Stegostoma tigrinum: one gene and its partner. The main gene of each other region encodes a partner of the protein of the gene in region 2 in a complex. Links are inferred from orthologs where the notes say so. Each region holds a gene or a part of one and is shown on either strand. Other genes may lie near its edges.

What was found.
Region 1: the proteins of metal transporter CNNM3 (region 2) and protein tyrosine phosphatase type IVA 3-like are in contact, whole or in part, in a crystal structure (PDB 5TSR), measured with the Homo sapiens proteins. The link is inferred for Stegostoma tigrinum from reciprocal best matches to the Homo sapiens genes CNNM3 and PTP4A3. Residues at the interface, in NP_060093.3 of Homo sapiens: Ser357, Asn358, Phe394, Asp396, Lys418, Val419, Asn421, Glu424, Gly425, Asp426, Pro427, Phe428, Tyr429; in NP_001425170.1 of Homo sapiens: Asn5, Pro7, Asp72, Gly73, Ala74, Val105, Ala106, Leu108, Gly109, Arg110, Arg137, Arg138, Gly139, Ala140, Ile141, Asn142, Lys144, Gln145.

What each region holds. Positions count from the first base shown.
Region 1 is NC_081358.1:110,694,794-110,705,529, reverse strand, and holds the start of protein tyrosine phosphatase type IVA 3-like, read right to left. Parts: upstream 6,806-10,736; 5' UTR 6,714-6,805; exon of another isoform or gene 6,637-6,713; intron 6,544-6,636; exon of another isoform or gene 6,332-6,543; intron 6,266-6,331; exon of another isoform or gene 6,190-6,265; intron 2,320-6,189; exon of another isoform or gene 2,301-2,319; intron 1-2,300. UniProt on the Homo sapiens protein: Protein tyrosine phosphatase which stimulates progression from G1 into S phase during mitosis. Enhances cell proliferation, cell motility and invasive activity, and promotes cancer metastasis.
Region 2 is NC_081393.1:16,747,076-16,757,811, forward strand, and holds the start of metal transporter CNNM3, read right to left. Parts: upstream 7,287-10,736; 5' UTR 7,284-7,286; coding exon 5,972-7,283; intron 2,976-5,971; coding exon 2,835-2,975; intron 379-2,834; coding exon 226-378; intron 1-225. UniProt on the Homo sapiens protein: Probable metal transporter.

The DNA of each region.
Region 1 (10,736 bases), on a different chromosome or scaffold from region 2:
ATTCCAAGACCAGCTCCAGCAAAGAACACACCTTTCAGCTCCAAAATACACTATAATTATACATTACTCTAGTACATCAGCATCTCACTTCCACCATCATATACAGGGCAACATGTACTGAGAAGTTAAGAACAAAAATTGTGCCAGTCCTGCTGTACAATTGAATCAGTTTATTTATGCACACAAATTCCATCAATTTATTAACATACTGACTTCCTGATTCTTGAAACTATTTTAGCAGTATCAATTTCATATCAACCAACATCATTTAACTTTGGTCAGTTATAAGTGATACTCCCATGATCCTAACATAATAGGAACCAATGCCCTGTAAAGAAGCAAAATTGCTTAACACTATAAATATGCCAGGTGAAAAGTAAGTTTCTTTAAAAAAAATTTCAATTAATGAATAAATTAATTTAATTCATTCAATCTAGCACCAAAAACTTCTAATACAGCATTTACAGTTTCCATACAGCAAGTATATTTGTTTGTACTTATGTTGGCTTTCCAGCTGTGTACTTATTTCTCCTCTGGCAGTTATTAATGTTGAATTATCAGCCCACATTTCTCTTTTTCATATCTTTCACACTGTGTTTGACAGCTCTCTTCTCAAAAGCACAAGTGCAATTCAAGCACATTTCTTAGGAACGTGCAGCATAGCACTATCATTTTGCAATGATTCATTGCATGGTAAAGTCACCCAGTTGACAAGAACAACATGGCGAAGTTACATGAAGTCAGTCTTAAGGAACTATGTTATAATCACTTCTATATCCCATTCATTGGTTCTCATTTGACAGTTAGAAATAATTGTTTGAATTTAAAAGTTTTGCAACTTCAGGAATTCTCAAGTGCTTACTGCCACTGATTTATTCTCAAAGAGTAAATTATTGGCAGACATTATTAGCAAATGTGGCAGACAATTTTCACACTGCAAATCCAACGGTAGGCTAAATGACCAGGTGACCAGATTATCTGTTTAATATTTCTGTCATGTGCAGAAAATCCCTGGACCTGTTCATCATTGAGAGCGAAACCATCCCCTACCCTTACATAGCCAAAGCTTGCACTAATCCAAATCCTACACTTATTCTCTCTCTCATCATCTTTTAAAGGTATCTCCACGAAACCAATCTCCAGCTTTCTGATCCTTTCCCACTCAACTTCATCAACTTACATTTGTGATACTCATGTTCATTGGAATAATGAATAGTTCTATTATTTCAGAGGATATCATGTCCACATGGAGGCAAATAACACCTTCAACTCCTCTGGAATTTTAGGTAATGTCCTTTACTGCATAAATCCAACATCCAGTCACCTTCAGTTTGGTGTCCATTATTTTCACAATTCTATGTTAGAATTGCTATGGTTAGATTTCCACACTTTCTACAGGACTGGAAAAACATATTGCTTCTACCCATTTTCCAAATGTCATGGTCAACCATGCCATACTCATCTGACAACCTCCTTTTCTGTCAGGTTTAGTAGATCCATTCTTGCTTGGTTCCAATCTGACTGTTAGACTTTCAAGCAAAAAGTCTTCTCTTCCAATTTCAACACAGCTACATTTGGAGTACCTCATTTTGCCCCTCTACTTAGCAGTTGTGCCATCAAATATGAAGGTCCTAAAATGTGGAATTCCCCTGCCTTCACTGCTCCACTTCAACATCCCGCTGCCAACTTAATGATTATTCTTAAAAACATCTACTTGACCTTTAGGTCATTCTTCCTAATACCTTCTTTGACCCAGCATCTCTATCCCAGTGAAGAAGTTCAACTGTTGTGTCTTGTAAGTTCAAGTCTACTTTGTGGGGTTAACCATGTGAAGATAGGGAACAGAATTAGGGAAATGAAATAGGTGGGAGAGATTCAGAAATTTCTCAAAGGGCAAGATCAAAATGTCAAACCAAGAGTGCACTTAAACATTTCACTGCAGTTTTTTTTGTATTATCTTGTGGGATGTGGTTGTCATTCGCTAAGCTAGCAATTATTGCTCATTCCTAATAGTCCAGAAAGCAGTTAAGCAACTACCACATTGTTGTGGGTATGGAGAATGGCAGGCACTTTCCTTCCCTAAAACGGCATTAGTGAACCAGACATTTTGCTTTAAAGAGCAACAAATCAACAGCAGTTTCACAGTTAACATTAGACTCTTAGAATTTGAATTCAATAAGAATCTGGAATTATCATTTGCCATGGTGGATCCCCAGAACATTATGTTGGTCTCTGGATTAACTGTACTACAATATTAGCACCAGGTCATCAGCACTCCCTTCTATTTAGTTCCAACATACCTTATATCAGTTTAAACTTAAACTTCCAAGGCGACAACTGCAGCATTATACAACTTTCCACAAGTCTGAAGATTCCAAGAGATGCAACGATATTTATTCACAGTGCTCAGTTAACAAACAGCAAAACAATGCGATAAATAGGGATGTAGAATAGCTCTGTCCAAGCACTCTTGCCCATTGTTAAAGATCAGTCAAACGGGCCACCACATGCTTGCAACGCAGCTCCAATCTGCTCATCAAATACATCAGCTGTAGCTGTACTTGGATTTCCAGAAGGCACCTGACAAGGTTCCACATTTACTGCACAAAGTACAAGGAGGTCGTAATATGTTAGTATAGGCAAATGATTGTTTTCTGTCAACTAGCTAGACAGTGTGCATAAATGGATAACATAGAACACAAAACACAGGAAAGTACAGCACAGTACAGTACAGGTCCTTCGGCCCACAATGTTGTGCCGTGGAATAATCCTAATCCAAAAATAAAATAACCTAACCTACATTCCCCTCAATTCACTGCTGTCCATGTGCATGTCCAGCAGTTGCTTAAATGTCACTAATGACTCCGCTTCCACAACTACCATAGGTAAACTATTCCATGCGCTCACAACTCTCTGGGTGAAGAACCTCCCTCTGACGTCTCCTCTATACCTTCCTCCTAACACCTTAAAACTATGACCCCTCGTGGCAGTCAATCCTGCCCTGCGAAAAAGTCTCTGGCTATCAACTCTATCCCTGCCTCTCATTACCTTGTACACCTCGATCAAGTCACCTCTCTTCCTCCTTCTCTCCAGAGAGAAAAGTCCAAGCTCAGTCAACCTCTCCTCGTAAGACAAGCCCTCCTGTCCAGGCAGCATCCTGGTAAACCTCCTTTGCACCCTCTCCAAAGCCTCCACATCTTTCCTATAATAGGGCGACCAGAACTGGACACAATATTCCAAGTGTGGTTTCACCAGGGTTTTGTAGAGCTGCAGCATAACCTCACGGCTTTTAAACTCGATCCCCTGTTAATAAAAGCCAAAACAGTGTATGCTTTCTTAGTAACCTTATGCACCTGGGCGGCAACTTTGAGGGAGCTATGCACTTGAACGCCAAGATCCCACTGTTCTTCCACACTGCCAAGAATCCTGCCTTTAATCCTATATTCAGCATTTAAGTTCGACCTTCCAAAATGCATCACTTCGCATTTATCCAGGTTGAACTCCATCTGCCATTTCTCAGCCCAGCTCTGCATTCTGTCAATGTCTCGCTGAAGCCTGCAATAGCCCTCGATACTATCAACGGCACCTCCAACCTTTGTGTCATCAGCAAACAAACTAACCCACCCCTCAACCTCCTCATCGAAGTCATTTATAAAAACTACAAAGAGCAGAGGCCCAAGAACAGAGCCCTGCGGGACACCACTAAGCACTGACCCCAGTTCCACTGGGTTTGTTCTGGGGTGTCAGCTTCTGACAATTTGTATTGGAGCAAAGAAATTTTTGTGGCGTAGTGATCATGTGCCTTCCTTTGAGCTAGGATGCCTTAGTTCAAGTTTCATCTGCTTCAGAGGTGCACAATAACATTGCCAAACAGGCTAATTAGAAAACATCTTGATGGGATGAAGGCACAATAGCTCCTTTTGCAGACAAAGAAAGTTTGGAAATTACAAAAACAGATGGTGTTAGAGAAATTCAGTAGGTCTAACAGCATCTAAGCAAGAAGAAAAAGAATTGATGTTAAGTCTTTGAGCCTCTGAACAAGTCATACTGGACTCGAAACATTAACACTTTCCTTCTCTCTCTACAGATGCTGCCAGACCTGCTGAGCTTTTCCAGCAATTCCTGTTTTGGTAAGGTAATGAAATAATTTAGGATAAGAGTAAGTTGACTTAACAGCAATGATATCATAATAATATTCAGTTATGCAGGGCATCGGTGAGAATGACATCTCAAATACTGCATGCAGTTCTGGCCTCCTTATTTAAGGAAGGATTAAAACAGGTTGGAAACATTTAAAGGAGGTTTACTAGATTAGCGTAGGAATAAATTACTGCAGATGATGGAATCCGTACTGAAAATAACAAATGCTGGCAATCACAGCAAATCAAAAAACATCCATGGAAAAACAGCAAGCTAATCAGTGATGAAGAGTCATCGCGACTCGAAACATTAGCTTGGTCTCTCTCTATGGATGCTGTTTTCCTTACTAGATGAATAGGTTGTCTTGTGATGGGTTGAAAAGGCTGGACTTTTTCCATCTCTCACCACTGCCATCCACCATCCTCCCCACCCCCCCACCCAACTCAAGATGAGAATACAGAGAAATGACTTGATTGAAATACAGATTTGGCAAGGTGAATATGAAAACAAAGCTTCCCTATGAGGACGGTTAGACGTGGACTGATTCCCTTGTCTAACCACAATCTAGGTGATTTTTTTTGGTTTGGCGGGGGAGTGGGGGAAGCAAACAGCAGCACAGAATTCAAAGTGAACAGCACAGCAGGCACAGTGAACTGAATAGGCTCCTTCTGCTCTTACGTTAATACGTACAAAGTTGGAAAATCAGCCTTTTTATATAAACAATCACCAGTTACAGTAAATGAAACAAATTCAGCTCTAATATTGAATTCAGCTATAAATACACCCTTTTGCCCCCACCCCCAAAGAAACAAAAAATTGGCACACACTTCTTCAGCTGAGGGTGAATAACTGACCTTCTCCCAGGGCTGCTGCCAATTCCACTCAGTAACAAGTCAGTACAATGATCTACTGACCCATCGAAAAAATTGTGACAGAATAGATTTCGAAATTTAAAATAATAGTAAAACTCTTTGCAGGCATTCAAACAATCAAAGAAGTCACTTCCAGAATTCTCACAACCATGTAGTTTCTAAACACTACAATATATTTGATGTTAATTTTAAAAAACAAGAAACAATACATTTCAATTTTTATTTTAAGATTACCAATTCTGAACATTTAAAAGGGAACATTTCTACAGCATTTTGTTTATATGGACAAAAACCCTATTCTCTGAATCTAAGCAAATTAAACATTCAAACATAAATGTATTTCAGACCATCTGACACTCACCAGTGATTTACAAAATCATGTAAGCAAGCCATTTAAGCACAAAAAAGGTAGAAAATCAGCTTTTAAAAAAAAACCCAAAAGAACTGCAGATGCTAAAAACAAAAAAAAGTTGCTGGAAAAGCACAGCAGGTCTGTCAGTATTTGTGGAGAGAAATCAAAGTTAACCTTTCGAGTCCAGTGACCTTGGTTAAAAAATTCTGATTTCTCTCCACAGATGCTGCCAGGCCTGACTTTTTCCAGCTATTTCTGTTTTTGCTATAGAAAACCATGTTGCAATGTCAGGATAATTCACCCCTTTTTCCAATTCTGAAAATGGTTGGTCACGAAAGGGGCAAACAAGAAAGCCAGAAGTATGTGTGAATTAAAACTATAAAATTTCCTCCATTCAAGCATCCGCAATATGTTTCTTAGACACTAAAAGACTTCCCAATATTCAGGAAATTAAGTACATTACTGAAGACAGGAATGTAACCAAATTACTGAGTCTTCAAAAGCTTCCATGTGGCCCCACAAGTTGTGCTGCAAGAGTTAAATAACGTAATTAAACATATATAAAATGCAGTGATCATTCAGAAATAAACGTAGGGAAGAGATGGAAAACTTGCACACATTGAATCCTCTGACCACATATGGTGAAGGGCTTTGGTATTCCTCAACGGCACTACATGATATGCAGTTTCTCTTTTTGCAGTGCAACCTCCAGAGATCACAGCCCTCTTTGTAAATTTCCTTCAGATACCATACCCAACACTAACAAAATAAAACCATTTCCTAAAATAAAACACACAATGAACAGATTATAAACCGGGTAGACACCTGTACAGTGTACTCGGAGAGGAAGGGAGAGACAGAGCCTGGAAAAAAGTCCCATTTGCCTCCAAGAGTTCAAATGCGCAGGAAAGAGAGAGAGAGACACACACACACACACACACACAAAGGAAAAGGAGCAGCCACATACTCAAGATGGGATCTCCAAGGTGAGGTGAAAGCACCGGCCTTCCTCGCTTGAGAAAGTGGACGTCAACAACACCGGCCACACATACACGAAATAAAATAATATTTTTGACCCATTAAAACTTAAATTGAAAGCCATATAACAAAAGAAACTGAAAAGCTCTCCGGAGGAAAGCTAAAGGGAAGATGGTGTGTGTGTGTGTGTGTTTGGGAGAGGAGGGGTGAAGTGGGCGTTGCTTGGGAGGTGTTTGGCAGTGGGATGGTAAGTTTCTCCAGCAGAGTCAAGATAATGGAGGGTTTGTTACTCACTGCGCGACACCTGTTCATTTAAAGCCCGAATAGTACAGAATGACGGTGGTGAGGGACAGCTCCTGGCGTTCACTCACTCTCATTCACACAGCCACTCTCTCTCTCTCTCTGTGCTGCCTCCTCCTATCCCAGGGCCGGTGTTACCATGTGTTCCAGCCGCCGTCGCTAGGGGACGTCAGCGTCAGGTCATAGGTCAACCCTGAAGTGTGGGACCAGGAGAGAAAATTAATCACAATAACAAACAGCAAACAAAAGTGACCACACTCATTCAGGTTTTTTTTTAAAAAAAACCTTTGATTTTAGAAAAAAACGCAACTCCATTGTTGTTTCTGCCCTCCCTTCCTCCACTTGGGCTCTCTGTGTAACCATGTCCCACCCTCGCGTCATTTCCGCTCTCTATATTTCCCGCCAATCTTTTCTTACCGCCTGCAGTGAGTCTGGGTTAGGTTCTTCATGGTGTTTTGTTGCCAGTTGGACTGGCACATCCATGAATTGTAGTTTCAATTTTATACTGGAAGAAAATGCAACCATTTAAAATATAGGACTGCAAATGCAGGAACGCAGGGTTGATAAAATGTGGAGCTGGAGGAGCTCAGCAGGTCAGACAGCGCCGGAGGAGACGGACATTCGACGTTTTGGGTCTGTGGACCCCTCAGCCTTTACCTGATACAAACAGAGTTAACATTTCAAGTCCAAAGATTCAAGAAACAAAGAACTGCAGATACTGGGAAACTGAAGCAAAAGCAAAAACAGAAACTCAGTAGGTTCTGAACAAGGGTCCCTGGACTCAAAATATTAACACTGCTTTCTCTCCACAAATGCTGCTGAGTTTCTCCAGCAATATTTTTTTGTTCTGCCTTTGACACATTCATTTTGCCTAACAAAATGCAAATGATGGTCCTGAACGAATGATATTTGTTACAGTCTTTCTAATACTTCCTCCAAGCCCTTCCCCCAACCACCACCTTTCATTTTGGCCTATGTCAACTGGTTGCTGCAAGTTTTGCTTTTGAAATAACTCAACAGAGGAAGGTATCCTGTCACCAAACCAGGCTTTGATAATGGTCTGAGATAATCGGAACTGCAGATGATGGAGAATCCAAGATAACAAAGTGTGAAGCTGGATAAGCACAGCAGGCCAAGCAGCATCTCAGGAGCACAAAAGCTGATGTTTCAGGCCTGGACCCTTCATCAGAGAGGGGGATGGAGAGAGGGGGAGGTGGATTGAAGATGGATAGAGGAGAACATAGGTGGAGAGGAGAGTATAGGTAGGGACGGGATCCCCACTTTGTTATCTTTGATAATGGTCTGGCTACCTCAGAGCTAGTTCTCAGAGTGAACGGAACTTCTGACACTCCTGATCATACCTGTCAGCCAGGGCTCACTGATTGAACCAGGTTAATAGCTCCAATCAGGGAACTCTGAGATCCACTTGGCAGACTCCATTCCAATTCTGCAACCCTTCCCGTCTAGGTCCTGGGACATAGGCCTGTTCTTATTTGTTAGCTTCTCCTGGGACACTTTCTCACTGAATCTGGTTCTTCCAACTCAGCCTTGGATACAGGCAGCTTGTATCGGACCGTAGCCTCCCACTTGTGTCTGGAACGTCTTTGAGGAAATTTATCTTCTTCTTAAGGTGGTGAAGGCATTAAGAATGCGTAATCCTCTGTGTCCATCTCCAGTTCTAATGTTTCTTCGATGCTAGACGGAGGGGAGAACCCCAGGGTTCTGACAGAGTTTCTGACTATTCTGACAGTCCAGGCGTGTTTTGCTGCTATCCTGCTGGTGGGTTTACAACTTTCGTGTGCTCCGCATGCTTGTCCAGGACCACCTCACCGACCTGAACTTTGTATGTCTCAGGACCTGACTCTGCATTGACCTCGCTTCTTATCCATGCAGGGTCGTTTTCCTGGTATCGGCACCAAACTTGATTCCTAAAGCAAACTGTTTCTCTTGCTTAGAGGAGTCTTGTGTCCAGCAGTGGTTGTCCTGATTCTGCATCACCCTGCCCATCCGAAGGTCCAGGAAAATCAGATTTAACCTCATGCGGAGCCTGCTCCCCATTGGCAACTCTGCTGGAGCTACCCCTTAAGATATACGATATAATGTTCCGCTAATCAAATAGAAACCAGAGCAGTTTGGTATCTAGTGAAATGAGTGCAATGTTTCCAAATTTGCAGATGATACTAAGCTGGGTGGCAGTGTGTGCTGTCAGGAGGATGCTAAGAGGCTGCAGGGTGACTTGGACTGGCTCAGTTGGCAAGCGCAATATAATGTGGATTATCCACTTTGGATGCAAAAACAGGAAGGCAGTTTATTATCTGAATGGTGGCAGTTTAGGAAAAGGTGAAGTGCAACAAGATCTAGAAACAATCACTGAAGGTTGACTTGCAGGCAGTGAGCATAGCTAATGGCGTGCTGGCTTTTGATAGCAAGAGGATTTGACAACCGGAATAGTGATGTCTTGCAACAGTTATACAGGGCCTTCTTAAAAAAAGTCTTCTGTTCTGAGGAAGGGCTTTCTTGCTATTGAGTAGGTTCACCAGACTGATTCCTGGGATGGCAGGATGAACATATGAGGAAAGACTAGATCACATTTACTGGAATTTAGAAGAATGAGCTGGTGATCTCATAGAAATATACAAAATCCTGATAGGACTGGACATGCCAGATGCGAGAAGAATGTTCCTGATGTTGGGGAAGTCCAAAACTAGGGGTCACAGTCTAAGGTCTAAGCCATTCATGAGGAATATGATGAAGAATTTCTTCATTCAGAGTTGTGAACCTGTGGAACTCCCTTCTACAGGAAGCTGCCGGGGCCAGTTCATTAGATATATTCAGGAAGAGTTGGATGTGGCCCTTGCAGCTAAAGCGATCAAGGAATATGGGGGAAATACAGGAATAGGATACTGAGATTGCATGATCAGCCAGAATCATATTGAATGGTGATAGAAGCACAAAGGGCTGAATGGCCTACTCCTGCACCTATTTTCTGTGTTGGCTGTTTCTTTAACTTCCCCAAAGGCTGTGTCTTGGCTAGAAGACTGTTTCGAAGGCTGACCCTTTTTCAATGGTGGATGTAAGGGTGGCAGGATGGAGGCCAGGTACATCCAAACCTCCTGTGATAATTCACCAATCCAAGGAAAGACCTAAGCTCCAGCACAGCCATGAGAACCAAGACACCTTTGATCTCCCTCACTTTGTTTTCAAATGGGTGTAATCTAATCCCGTTGACTCTAGCCCAAGTAGGTCACTTGAGTTGACTGGAACACACATTTTTGCCTTCTAAGGTGTACCCCCATCTTGGAGAAATATCTAAAGACCTTGAAAAATGTTTTCCATCATCCGCTGAAAAAGGCACATGATGATGCCTTAAATGGCAGTTTTTTATGTGGTGCAAACGGTTATAGGTTTTAATTGTAACATACTTCTGGGAATTTTCATCTAACTGCAGATGCAGTTATGCATGGCTCAGCTCCAGCTCTGTGAAGGACGGCACCCTGACCAACTCTGTGTATGAGACCTCTATGCAAGCAATTGGGTATTTATCCAGCTGCGAGAAACAGTTTACTGTTTGTTTAAAATCCTCACAAACGCGAACCAACCCATCGCACTTCGCAATCAGTACGACAGACACTGCCATTCCACAAGTCTTCTAGTTTGATGATCCTTTCGCTTTCCAGTCTCCTAATATCTGCCACTACTTTTGGATGCGAGACAAATGGCATTGTTTCCTGATCAACATGCAATCCCCTTGGCTCCTTTGATAGTTCCTAGACTTTTCTGATAAAACTTATGGGTACCTAATTTGCTTTTCACTCAGGCATGTTGAATCAATGAAAGTGAATCTTTCTCAAGCAATTTCATCAGGCTTGGGCCCGAGTCTTTTACAACAATCAATGCTAATGGAACCGTCTGCTTCTCATACGAGACTGGAACTGAAGTTGTACCCTTAATCTATTAAAGATTGCCTAGTATAGGTTCTCAGTCCAGCCGGGGTCTTAAGAAAACTAATGTGTTGATGTTCAGCGCGAATTTTGTTAAAGACTGGTTCTGCAATCACTGATACAGCCGTGCCGCTATCAACCTCCATTTGACCT
Region 2 (10,736 bases):
CAACACCAGACAGTATTACAAATTTCAGCACAGCGCTGATCTCCCCAAACACTTTTGCCAGGCTAAAACTAAAAGCCTGTCAACTAAGTAGCTGACTTGCCCTTCAAACTCACAGATTTTTCTCTTCAGAAAACATTGCACATTTTGGAGAGGAACCAAAGACACTTACACTCTACCACCCCTCTCACAACCCAGCCTTTTCCCCAGCAGTAACTGTCTCCCTACCTCTGGATAAGAAGCGCTGAGTTGCTAGTAAAAGCTGGGGTGAAATCTTTCCCTTTAGATCGATATCAGGCACCTTAAAAAATGAGACTTCTTCCTTCTTGCGCTCAACAGAAGTGCTGATGGGAGCAGGCTTTTTCTTCACCTTGACCTGCGCTGTAGAAGGAACAGAAAATTGAAAAAACAACTGGAACTGACTGAGAGTCTTTGAGCCACTTGTGATTTGCTCCCAATCCTCTGCTACCATCTCAGCAAATCAACACAGGTCATTCCCATTTGAAATGTCAATCATTTTTCATGTGAGATCCCAGCTTAAAAAAAGAGCACCATCCATCATGAAGCTCACGTGCACCCTTCAAAGGCCAGAAGATTATTCTCTGTGACTGTCGGATGATCGACACCAAGTGTGTTCTGCACTATTGGAGATGCGATACTGAAGAAGCACTGCATCAGAGGGGGAGGACCGCGGGACCACTGTATCATTGGAGAAGCACTACAGTTGGGAATGTAGAGCTGTTAAAGAGGGACAGTCTTTGTAGTCTAAGGGCCTTTTCTCAGCTTTGATTACTTGTATCTTTACGGGCTGGAAATCAATATTATTGCACAAGAGTCACAATGCTGTATAACTGATTTCTGTGCCCTCGATTGAGGAGCCTGAAGCTAGGTGGCACTTTCACAAAAGGCAGAACATTACTGAGCAGGTACAATGAGCAGTTACAGAGGCAAATGGCACTTTAGTCTTAATTGCCAATGGAACGGAATCAAGAAAGTCAGGCTCCAAACGTACAGGGCTTTAATGAGGCCACATCTGGAATTGTGGATGCAGTCCATATTTTAGGAAGGATAGACTTGCCCTGAAATTGGTGCCAATGTTGTAACTGTCAACTGTCATTCAAAACCCACGTGGTTCACTCCTCCTTTAAGAAATTTGCTTGTGGTAACTAAAAGGTAAAGTCGCCATAATCCTACCATTAGAGATGCACAACTGGTTGTGATTTAACCCGAGGGTCACTGAGGTGAGGGGAGAGGTTGCGAAGGGAAGTCCCTCACAGGTAACTTCAGCCAGTGCAGGAATTAACCCAAGCTGTTGGCATCGCTCTGTATCGCAAACCAGCCAACTGAGATTTTTTCTAATTATTCATTTCGTGGGATGTGGGCGACACTGCCTGGCGGGCATTTCTCACCCATCCCTAGTTGCCCTTGAGAAGGTGATGGTGAGCTGCCTTCTTGAGCCGCTGCATTCCTCCTGCTGTGGGTTGACCTACAATGCTATGAGGGGGGGAATTCCAGGATTTTGACCCAGCGACAGTGAAGAAACGGTCAGGGTGGCGAGTGGCTTGGAAAGGAGCTTGGAGGTGGTGGTGTTCCCATGTATCTGCTGCCCTTGTCCTTCTAGATGGAAATGGTCATGGGTTTGGAAGGCACTGCCTGAGGATCATTGGTGGATTTCCTCAAAGTCGGAGATAACAGAAGTGACAGGAGTAAAGTCTTTTCACAAGGGGTCAGATTGGAAGACACAACAGCAGAATGCAGGCTCAGTTGGGGTTTTCTACAGGGAATGTGACTGCCATCTGTAAAGGAAGAACGTGCAGGATTACAGCGAGAAGATGGAGAATGGCACAGAGATGCTTATTCAGAGAACCAGTACAAATAGTGGGGCAAATGGCCTACTGCTGCACCATAAAAAAAAATCACACGAGCTTCAAGGCAGCGGCACACCCTCACGTTTTCAAAGGGAAAAAGAGCAATAAATGCCTGTCTTGCTTGTAGCACCAATGTCCCTGGAATGAATTTGCACAAGAAAGTAGAAGGAAATTGATCCATCCTCTGCTTTACAGGGTGTCCTGTGGTGAATCAGCATTAGTGTTGCAGTTTTTGGTGTAATGTAAGTCATACTAAACATGTATGTAACCTTGGTTAGGACCACACAAGTCGTGTTTGGGCTACTAAAGAAAGAACTTGAGCGGCACCAAAGGGCAAGAAAAAAGTATGCTAAAAGTCCAAGAACTGAGATACACGTGAAAAAAAAGTGGACAGACTGGGGGCTCTCTGCTCTAAGCAGGTCCAAGTTCAAGATCATGGATAATTTTGATAGGACAGATACACGTAAATTTCCAAGAGCAGGAAATACCAGAACCAGCAGCCATAAATCAATGGTGGTCACTTATAAATCCAACAGGAAATTCAAGAGAAACGGTTGGACTGTGGAACACACAAACACAGTGGAAATTTGAGATCATCAGCAGAGATGCGTTTAATGGCAAGGCAGATCAACAAGACAGAGAAACAAACAGAAGGATATGCTGAATATGCATTTCTGAAAAAAAGGGTCTGGGTTCAAAACGTCAGCCTTTACACTCCTCTGATGCTGCTTGGCCTGCTGTGTTCATCCAGCTCTGACACCTTGTTATCTTAGAAGGACATGCTGAATGGGTGAAAAGAAGATGACAGAGAGGACATTTGTATAGACGATAGACATTGGCACAAAGTTGCAAGACAGAATGGTCAGTCCCTGAAATGAAATGCTGAATAATCCTGTTGAGAAGGAGATTAGTGACGCCACCCCCAACTTCAAAAGCCATCACTTCGAAACTCCTATTGTTTCTACTTACTATTATCTGATTCGTCGAGGATCTCAGATTTGATTATTTCTTCGATGACATCCCCAAGGGTCACTAAACCAAGCACCTCGTAGAAGGGATCACCATCGCCTTCGTTGTTCACCTTCTGAACCATTGCCATATGAGATTTGCCTCAAAACAAAAAGACAAACACAGCATTGTTATAACCACAGAACAGGGTTAGATAATAAAAAACAACCAAGATTAACTTGGATTTAAGTCTTTTTCAGAGAGGTTTAATTTCCTTGCTGCTGTACATCTCCCGCTCTGATAATCTGCAAATATGGAAAGGACAAAGGAGAGACTAGAACTAAGGGGTGTTGCTTACAAATTAGAGGTCTCCTGTTCCAGACAGAGGGGAAAACTCAGACAGCAGTAAAAGCAGGGTCACTGAATATTTTTAAGGCTGATTCAGAACTGATAGGGGAGTCAAAGATATTGGGAAGTCATTTACATTTAGTTTCTTTATTCTTCAATGGGATGTGGGTACTGCTGGAAAGGCCAGCATTTGTTGCCCATCTCCAGATGTCCTATACTGAAGTGGTTTACTTGGCTATTTCAGAGGGCTGAGTCAACCACATTGCTGTGCACCTGGAGCGGCTTTCCACTAATTTTCTTGCTGGCTGCTCAAGTCTCCAAGGCACGTGCACAGCATTGTCTTCTGGAATTGGGAGTCAATGCCGCATCGGAAGTCAATGCTGCATTTGGAATCTTTTCCACCGATCGCCGTGCATACAACACAAGCACAACTGGCAACTAGGAGGGGACACTATTCTGGAATCTCACTGGCCAGACCGGGTAAGTATGAAGAACGTCCTTCCCTAAAGGGCATTTAGTGATCCAGATGGGTTTTTAAGGCTATCAACAATAAGTTTTTATACCTTCACCAACTCCAGTTTTATATACCAAAATAATTCACTGAATTCAAGTTCTGTCAGCCTCTGGATTACTAATTCAGTGACATTACCACCACCTTCTCTTAGCTTGTTTTACTGAACGTTGAGGTCTACTGAAAGGGAATTAGAATTAGGCTGAATTTGAAAATAAAAGCGTGCGCATGATTATGGAGAGGAGGAGGAAAAATGTTAATCAGTGAATTGCACAAACAGAATGGTGTCTTTCTGTCCTGTAACAGTTCTGTGTTGCTTTTGCACACCCTGATTGAGAGTGGTAGGCCCTTTTGCTCTAAGCCTTCAGCTGAAGTTGCTCAGTACCCCGTGTGTGTGTGTGTGTGTGTGTGTGTGTGTGTGTGTGTGTGTGTGTGTGTGTGTGTGTGTGTGGCGGGGGGGGGGGGGGGGGGGGGGGGGGGCGGCAGCATCTGGCTGGCATTTCAGGCAATCACTGCAAAGAAAGTTTGAAGTTAATATATCAACAACCCGTACTCAAGCTCCTAACAGGAGTCAGGGGATCCTGGCTAAATCGGTCAGGAGAGGCAGAATGGGACATAAAATCCTGGAAAAATGAACTGGGCATTCTCAAATAAAACAGTAGGTTTCTCAAATTGACAATGGAAAGTGGGACCATAATTGTGCTTCTGCTCACAAATTCAAACAGGATACATTGAGATGATCTAGAAAGCAAATGAGAGGCCCCTCTACATCTTAAAGTAGAAGTCATCAACAATATTTAGCCACACCAAGATCTGACATTGATACAAATGCTTTTAGATTGAGAAATGTTTTAGAAATTCCCTAACCAGTTCAAGCAACAGTTCATGACCTGAAGGCTGCCTGCTAACTCTTGCTCATGAATAGGAGTTATTAAATATAAATCATCTCTCAAGATAATCACTATAAAACTACTTCAGCCCTACTGAACCTCTACAGTGGATCTTGTAGAATAGGTATCAGTAGTTGACCGTGTCCTTAGCTGGAATCTAGCCCCCTTGTGACAAAGCAGATAAGGCAATTTGTGTCAATGAGTGCTGACAAACAGCAAAGCGTTAACAACCGCCACCAAACCTTTTGAGTTATCGAGCTTCATGGCTTCAGGTCAACCACTAGAATAGGCATCAGTGAGCCTATCAGGTGGAGGCCATTCAACCCACCGTGGTCTTTCAAAGGACTTCCTCCACGCTCCACCTGATATACATTTTAAAGTTACCAGTGAATCTGCCAACATCACCCTTTCAGGTCCTGCAAACTCTTGTGCTGCCTTTGGTTCTTTCGAAACTGAAATTTTGCACACTCTGGTTACTGACCCTCCAATTACTGGAAACATTTTCTCCCAGTTTTATTAAAAATCATTTACAATTTGGAAAAACATCAATCGACTCTCCTTTTCCCTGGTATGAGAATAACTGCAGCTCCTGTCCTTAAAGTGAATTTAAAAGGTGTAGAAGCAGAATAGTCCATTCAGCCCATCAAATCTGCTGCTATTCGATGAGATCGTGGTTGACCGAGTAATCAACTCCACTTTTCTGCCTTTTCCCCCATGTCTTTTGATTCCCTTAAATATTACAAACATGTCTGTCTCAGAATTTAAATGCAAATAAAGCTAGTCTCAGTGTTTGCAACTCTGACAATTGTTGTCAATTCACGTAAAGATGGCAGATGGGTTTTTACCCGATCTGGCTTATATGACTCCGATCGACAGCAACGTGGTTGACTCTGAACAGGTCAGGCAAACAACTCAGTTCATGGGAAATCGGTGATGGTCAGCAAATACCCACATCGCATAAAAGAGAGAGAAAAGGTCTTTTCTTCCTTCAGTTATCCATCCAGAATATTCAACACAATATCTCTCACTGTGCCACTCTAAGACTATTTCTAAAACTGATGTTTTTGTTAAACACAACCGTGTCAACTTGCCTAACTGCAGTTCGAGAATCGTGTAGGTGATCCCACAACTGAACTACAGCACTAGATTGTGAAATAGGACCAGAGTAGAAAGAACCTGGGAGAGAAACAAAATTGAAACATACAATAAAACACTCTGTGGTGCTTCTCTAGCAGGGCCCCTGGATTACAGTGGGGAAAAACATGGTGGTGTGTGAAGATCTCCAGGCAGATCTAAAAAGTTCAGGTCACCACGAGCACACCTTGTTCAAAAGCCCTTCAGAAAGCATGGGGCAAATTAATGTTTCCTTTTGGATGGTGGAACAGATTCCACCAGTGATAAACAATCACCTTTCTTAAACTCTTCCAGGACAGCATCCAACTTGGTGTCATTGAACACAAAATGCAGGGGGTGGTTGTAGAATTTGATGATGGTATTCAAAGGAGTGCAGTCCTCAGGGTCGACCATGGCCAAGTCTTTCACGTAGACAATGTCCACAATGTTGGATATCTCCCCCTCATAGACTGGGATCCTGGTGTAGCCACACTGCATGATTTCAGACATGGTGTTGAAGTCCAGCACAGCTTCAGCACTGAGCATGAAACAGTCCTTCAGGCTGGTCATGATGTCCTCCACGACTTTGGTCCTCAGTGTACCACGGCTGAACTCCTCCTTGACAAATTCGCTGTAGGGGTCGGTGGAGCGCAACATGTCCAGGATCTTCTCACGGACGTAGCAGGTGCTGACGTCCTGGCGCAGGGCGCAGTCCAGTAGCAGGGCGACGGGAAGGACCAGCGGCGATGCCAGCACCACCAGCAGGCGGGTCAGCCAGGTAGCATGGGAGGCCACGGTGAAGCCGTACCGCGAGCAGATGGCATAGGGCACCACTTCACCCAGGAGGAAGAGCAGGCCGGCACAGGCCAGCACGGCCGGCAGGACAGTGCCCACTGCATGGTGGAGCAGCACTGCCAGGCACGAGCTGGCGAGCACGTTGCCCAGCACCAGGGAGCAGAGCACCAGGTTCCCCCGCCGCCTCAGGGGCTCTAGCGACTCGGCTCGCCGCTTCTCCGCCTCGGTGCCGCAGTGGCGGATGATGTGCAGCTCCAGGGGCTCCAGCCACAGCACGCTGAGGCGCAGCAGGTTGAGAAGCGCCGAGGCGAGCAGCAGGACGGCCAGCGCCAGCACCTGGCCCCACACCGACAGCGGGGACGGCGGAGGCCGGATGTCCAACGGGGTCTCCCAGCCTCCAGGGGGCTGCCACAGGCCCCTCTCCCGGTGCACCAGGGCGCACAGGTAGTAACGCCTCCCCCGCAGGCCGGCCCGGACGCTCACCAACACCGAGCCGTCCGTCTGGTTATCCCCCAGGTCCAGCCAGGCCGTCTCCAGGCTGCCGCTGCCGCACTCGGGCTCGGGGCTGTAGGCCAACCAGGGCCAGCTCTCGGCCACCAGGCGCCGGCCGAACACCCTCAGCTGGAAACGGGCCCCAGCGCCGGCTTCGATAGCGCCACCCGCCATCCGCACCGGGCCTCCGCCTTCGCCACTACTGCCGCCGCCCTCCAGCCGGACCCCCCGCACCTCGACCTCGCCCCCGTCCGGCTGCCCGGACGCCAGGGCCCACAGGGCGGCCAGCGCCAAGCGCAGGCTCCCGTCGACCGCCGCCATATTCGCGGGAAGGTGGGCAAATGTGAGGGGGTGGGCTCATCTTGAGCCCGCCCCGTTTCCGTGGACAACCTAACTCGCTCGTTGACCCTGCCGACCAATCGCTGACCTCTGCCGCTGATTGAGACCCTCTCCGTCCAATTGCCGGCCGAACTCGCCCGATTGACGGCTTCAACCACTCCATCCTTGGCACGCTCCTGTTGTCCGACAGTCGCCCCATCCAATCGAGACTCGAAGCAGCGACTGACCGGCATCCAACCCGGCCACTAATCGTGCTCTGCGCCCCACCCAACGTCCCACACTGGCCAATCATAATCAGAAGGGGACAGGGAGACCACCTTTGCCCAAGGTTGGGTGAGTGTGCAGGGTAAACAACACCCAAAGCAGTGATTCTTAAAGGGGGAAAGTCACCAGGATCCTCACCACAAATACGACACACCTCTCCCCCTAGTGAAAACAATAGCTGCATTACAGAAGGAATCTGCTTTTGTTTTATTTCAAGGTCCCACCCTCAAACATTTTCCAACTGAATACAGAAAGCTTGTGTCGAATTGGAAAAGGGATTTTACTTCGTTTGAAGTGACTGGGTTAGAGCAGCAGAATTAGTCCATTCAACCCAAGTCTGCTCTACCCTTGATCCCCTTAAAGGCAAACACATCTCTCGCTTAAATACACGCACTGACTTGACCTCTACAGCCGCGAGTTTCACAGATTCACCATGCCCTGGCTGGGGATTCTTCCTCATCTCAGTCCTAAACTGCCATCCCTTCATCAGAGGCTGTGCTCTCACGTACAATTCTCTCCTACTAATAAGAAACACCTTGTCCACTTTTATCCAGATCTCTCTGTATTCTGTTTCAATCAGATCCATCCACCATCCCTCTGAACGCCATCAAGTGCAGAGTCCTCCACTGCTCCTGAACATGACAAGCCCTCCATCCTCAGGATGAGTCTTGTAAACCTCCCGTGTCCCCTCAACTGGCGGCATATCCTTCCTTCAGTACAGGGCCCAAAACTGCTCACACTTTTCCAAGTGCAGTCTAACCACAGCCTTATAGAGCAGTACATCCCTAGCATTCTATTCTCACTCTCTCAGAGTGAGTGCTAACACTAATGCTGCATTAGCCTTCCTAACTGCCAACTAAACCTGTATGTTAACCTTACAGAACCCTGAATTAGCACTCCCAAGTCCCTTTATGCCTCAGTTTTCTGATGCCTTTCCCCATTTAGAAAATAGGGAGGAACAAGAGGTGTAACCTAAATGCATCACCTCTCACCTTCCCACATCATGGCAGATGGAACACATTTTTGCCTAGTCTCTTCACCTGTCCAAGCCCTTCTGCAGCCTCCCTGCTTCCTCAAGACTACCTGGCCTTCCACCTATCTTTTTTAAAAATAAAATCAAAAAGAACTGTGAATGCTGTAAATCAGGAACAAAAACAAAGTTGCTGGAAAAGCTCATCTGTGGAGGAGAAAATAGAGTTAACGTTTCAGGTCCAGTGACCCTTCCTCTGTTTTTCCCCTCCACAGGCAAAATCTGCCAAAACAAAGGGTACCCTGGATAGCACTGGGGTCTCCAGTAACTAACTTTAAGCCACATGGATTCTGGGCTGATGATTTTTAAAATTAGAAGTCTTTGAGATGGCCATCCATTCGAGAATGGGATAAAACCAATTGCAACACAGATACAGGCCATTTGGCCCATCTGTTCAATAGCCGTATTTATGCACCCTAACAGCCAGCTACAGAAGGCTGCAGAGTCCTATATTTAAGAAATAAATGAATTTCTAGTCAGTCAAGACATGTAATAGAGGGGGGGAAAGAGAAGGTAAAGGGTCGATCAAAATTTGGTACTGAACCAAGCAAAATAGTACTACAGGTCTTTAAGAAGGGTCACAAAAGAAGAAAGGATGTACAATGGCTGGAGTGATTCCAAGAGCCACCTCCTGTTTTTCCCCTTGATAAAAGGCAGAAATAGGAATGAGTGTAGGCCAATCAATCAGCCCATAGCAACTGCTCCATCATTCGTCATGATCGACCTTTTACCTTCTCTCCCTGTACTATTACATGCCTTGAACGACTAGAAATTCATTTATTTCTTAAAAAATATAGGACTCCACAGCCTTCTGTAGGCAGAAATTTCCACAGGTTCACCACCCTGAATGAAGGCATTAGGACTGGGGCAAGGATTAAACAGCCTCCCTACATCCGGAGACCACGTTCTATTCATATTCTCCTCGCCACTTGCCTCTCAAGTACCAAGATATGTTTAGTGAAAAGCTAGTTTTGTTAATGATCTGTCTCCAAGCCAACATTGAGTACAGTGAGGCAAATCAGGAGGAGTTTTGTTACTATCGATTCCAGTTAATAGCTACCTATTAGTTATGGACAGACATACTATTCCTGTCTATCAAACTTCTTCAGAATTTTAAAGACCCTTTTGAGAGGCATGCCTTCTTTCTTCTACCTCTTGGCTACTGTTTCCTATAATACAAACTTGATTGCAATTCAGAACTACTCTATTGGGTAGAACAAACCGGTGGATAGCTGGAGGGCTCAAGGTGCTATAGAGATGCAAGCTCTCATTTCCCATGAACTTGGTAGTATACAGCACAGATTTTCTTTATGAATGCTAGTTATTGGGGGAGGGTAAAGTGGCTTGAATTCAGTGTTGTAACAGGGCACTGTGAAACAAAATTTGGTGCTAAGCCACGCAGCACATTAGGACAGGTCTTTAAAGATGGTCAACAAGAGAAGAAAGAGGTGCGATGGCCAGAGGGATTTCCAGAGCCGAGGGCCTGGGAACGGCTGAAGGCACGGCTGCCAACATTGGCACAGGTTAAATGAGGAAAGCTGAAAACGGATAAAGGGAACACAGACGGAGTGCTAAATGAGGGAGATTTACTCCACAAAGACATTTGAAAATAAGAACGAGAACTTTAAAAATCAAGACATTGGTTGACGAGCACAGGTCAGGTCAGGTCAGGTCAGGTCAGTGAGCACTTTGTAGTGAATTTTGCCAGTCTTGCCATTTAGCAGGAACCTAACTCTACTCTCCAAACAACACTGGGTACAATTCTCAGATTTAAAAAGCTCTTTGAATCCCTTGCATTGGGCCATGTCCTTAGTAATAATCACTATTCATACTCAGTTTGGTTCTCTAAATACACATGCACCTTTTTGGAACAGGCTCTTTTGAAGTTACTTGCAAAGTTCAAGGTAAAGCTTAACTTGTAAGTCAAGATAAATGCAGACTTGGTGCTGAACCCTATGCTTCCCCCACTGTATAATCCCCTACCATGGTACTTGGAAAACAATGCATCATGTTGCAGCAAATCCACAGGGAATCTGTAACCAGGGCTCCCTCACATCCAATCACATCAGAAACAGAGCACTCTACATTTGGCTCACAACTTGTGTTTCAACAGCTTAAGGACAGGCTCCAGCACACCTTCA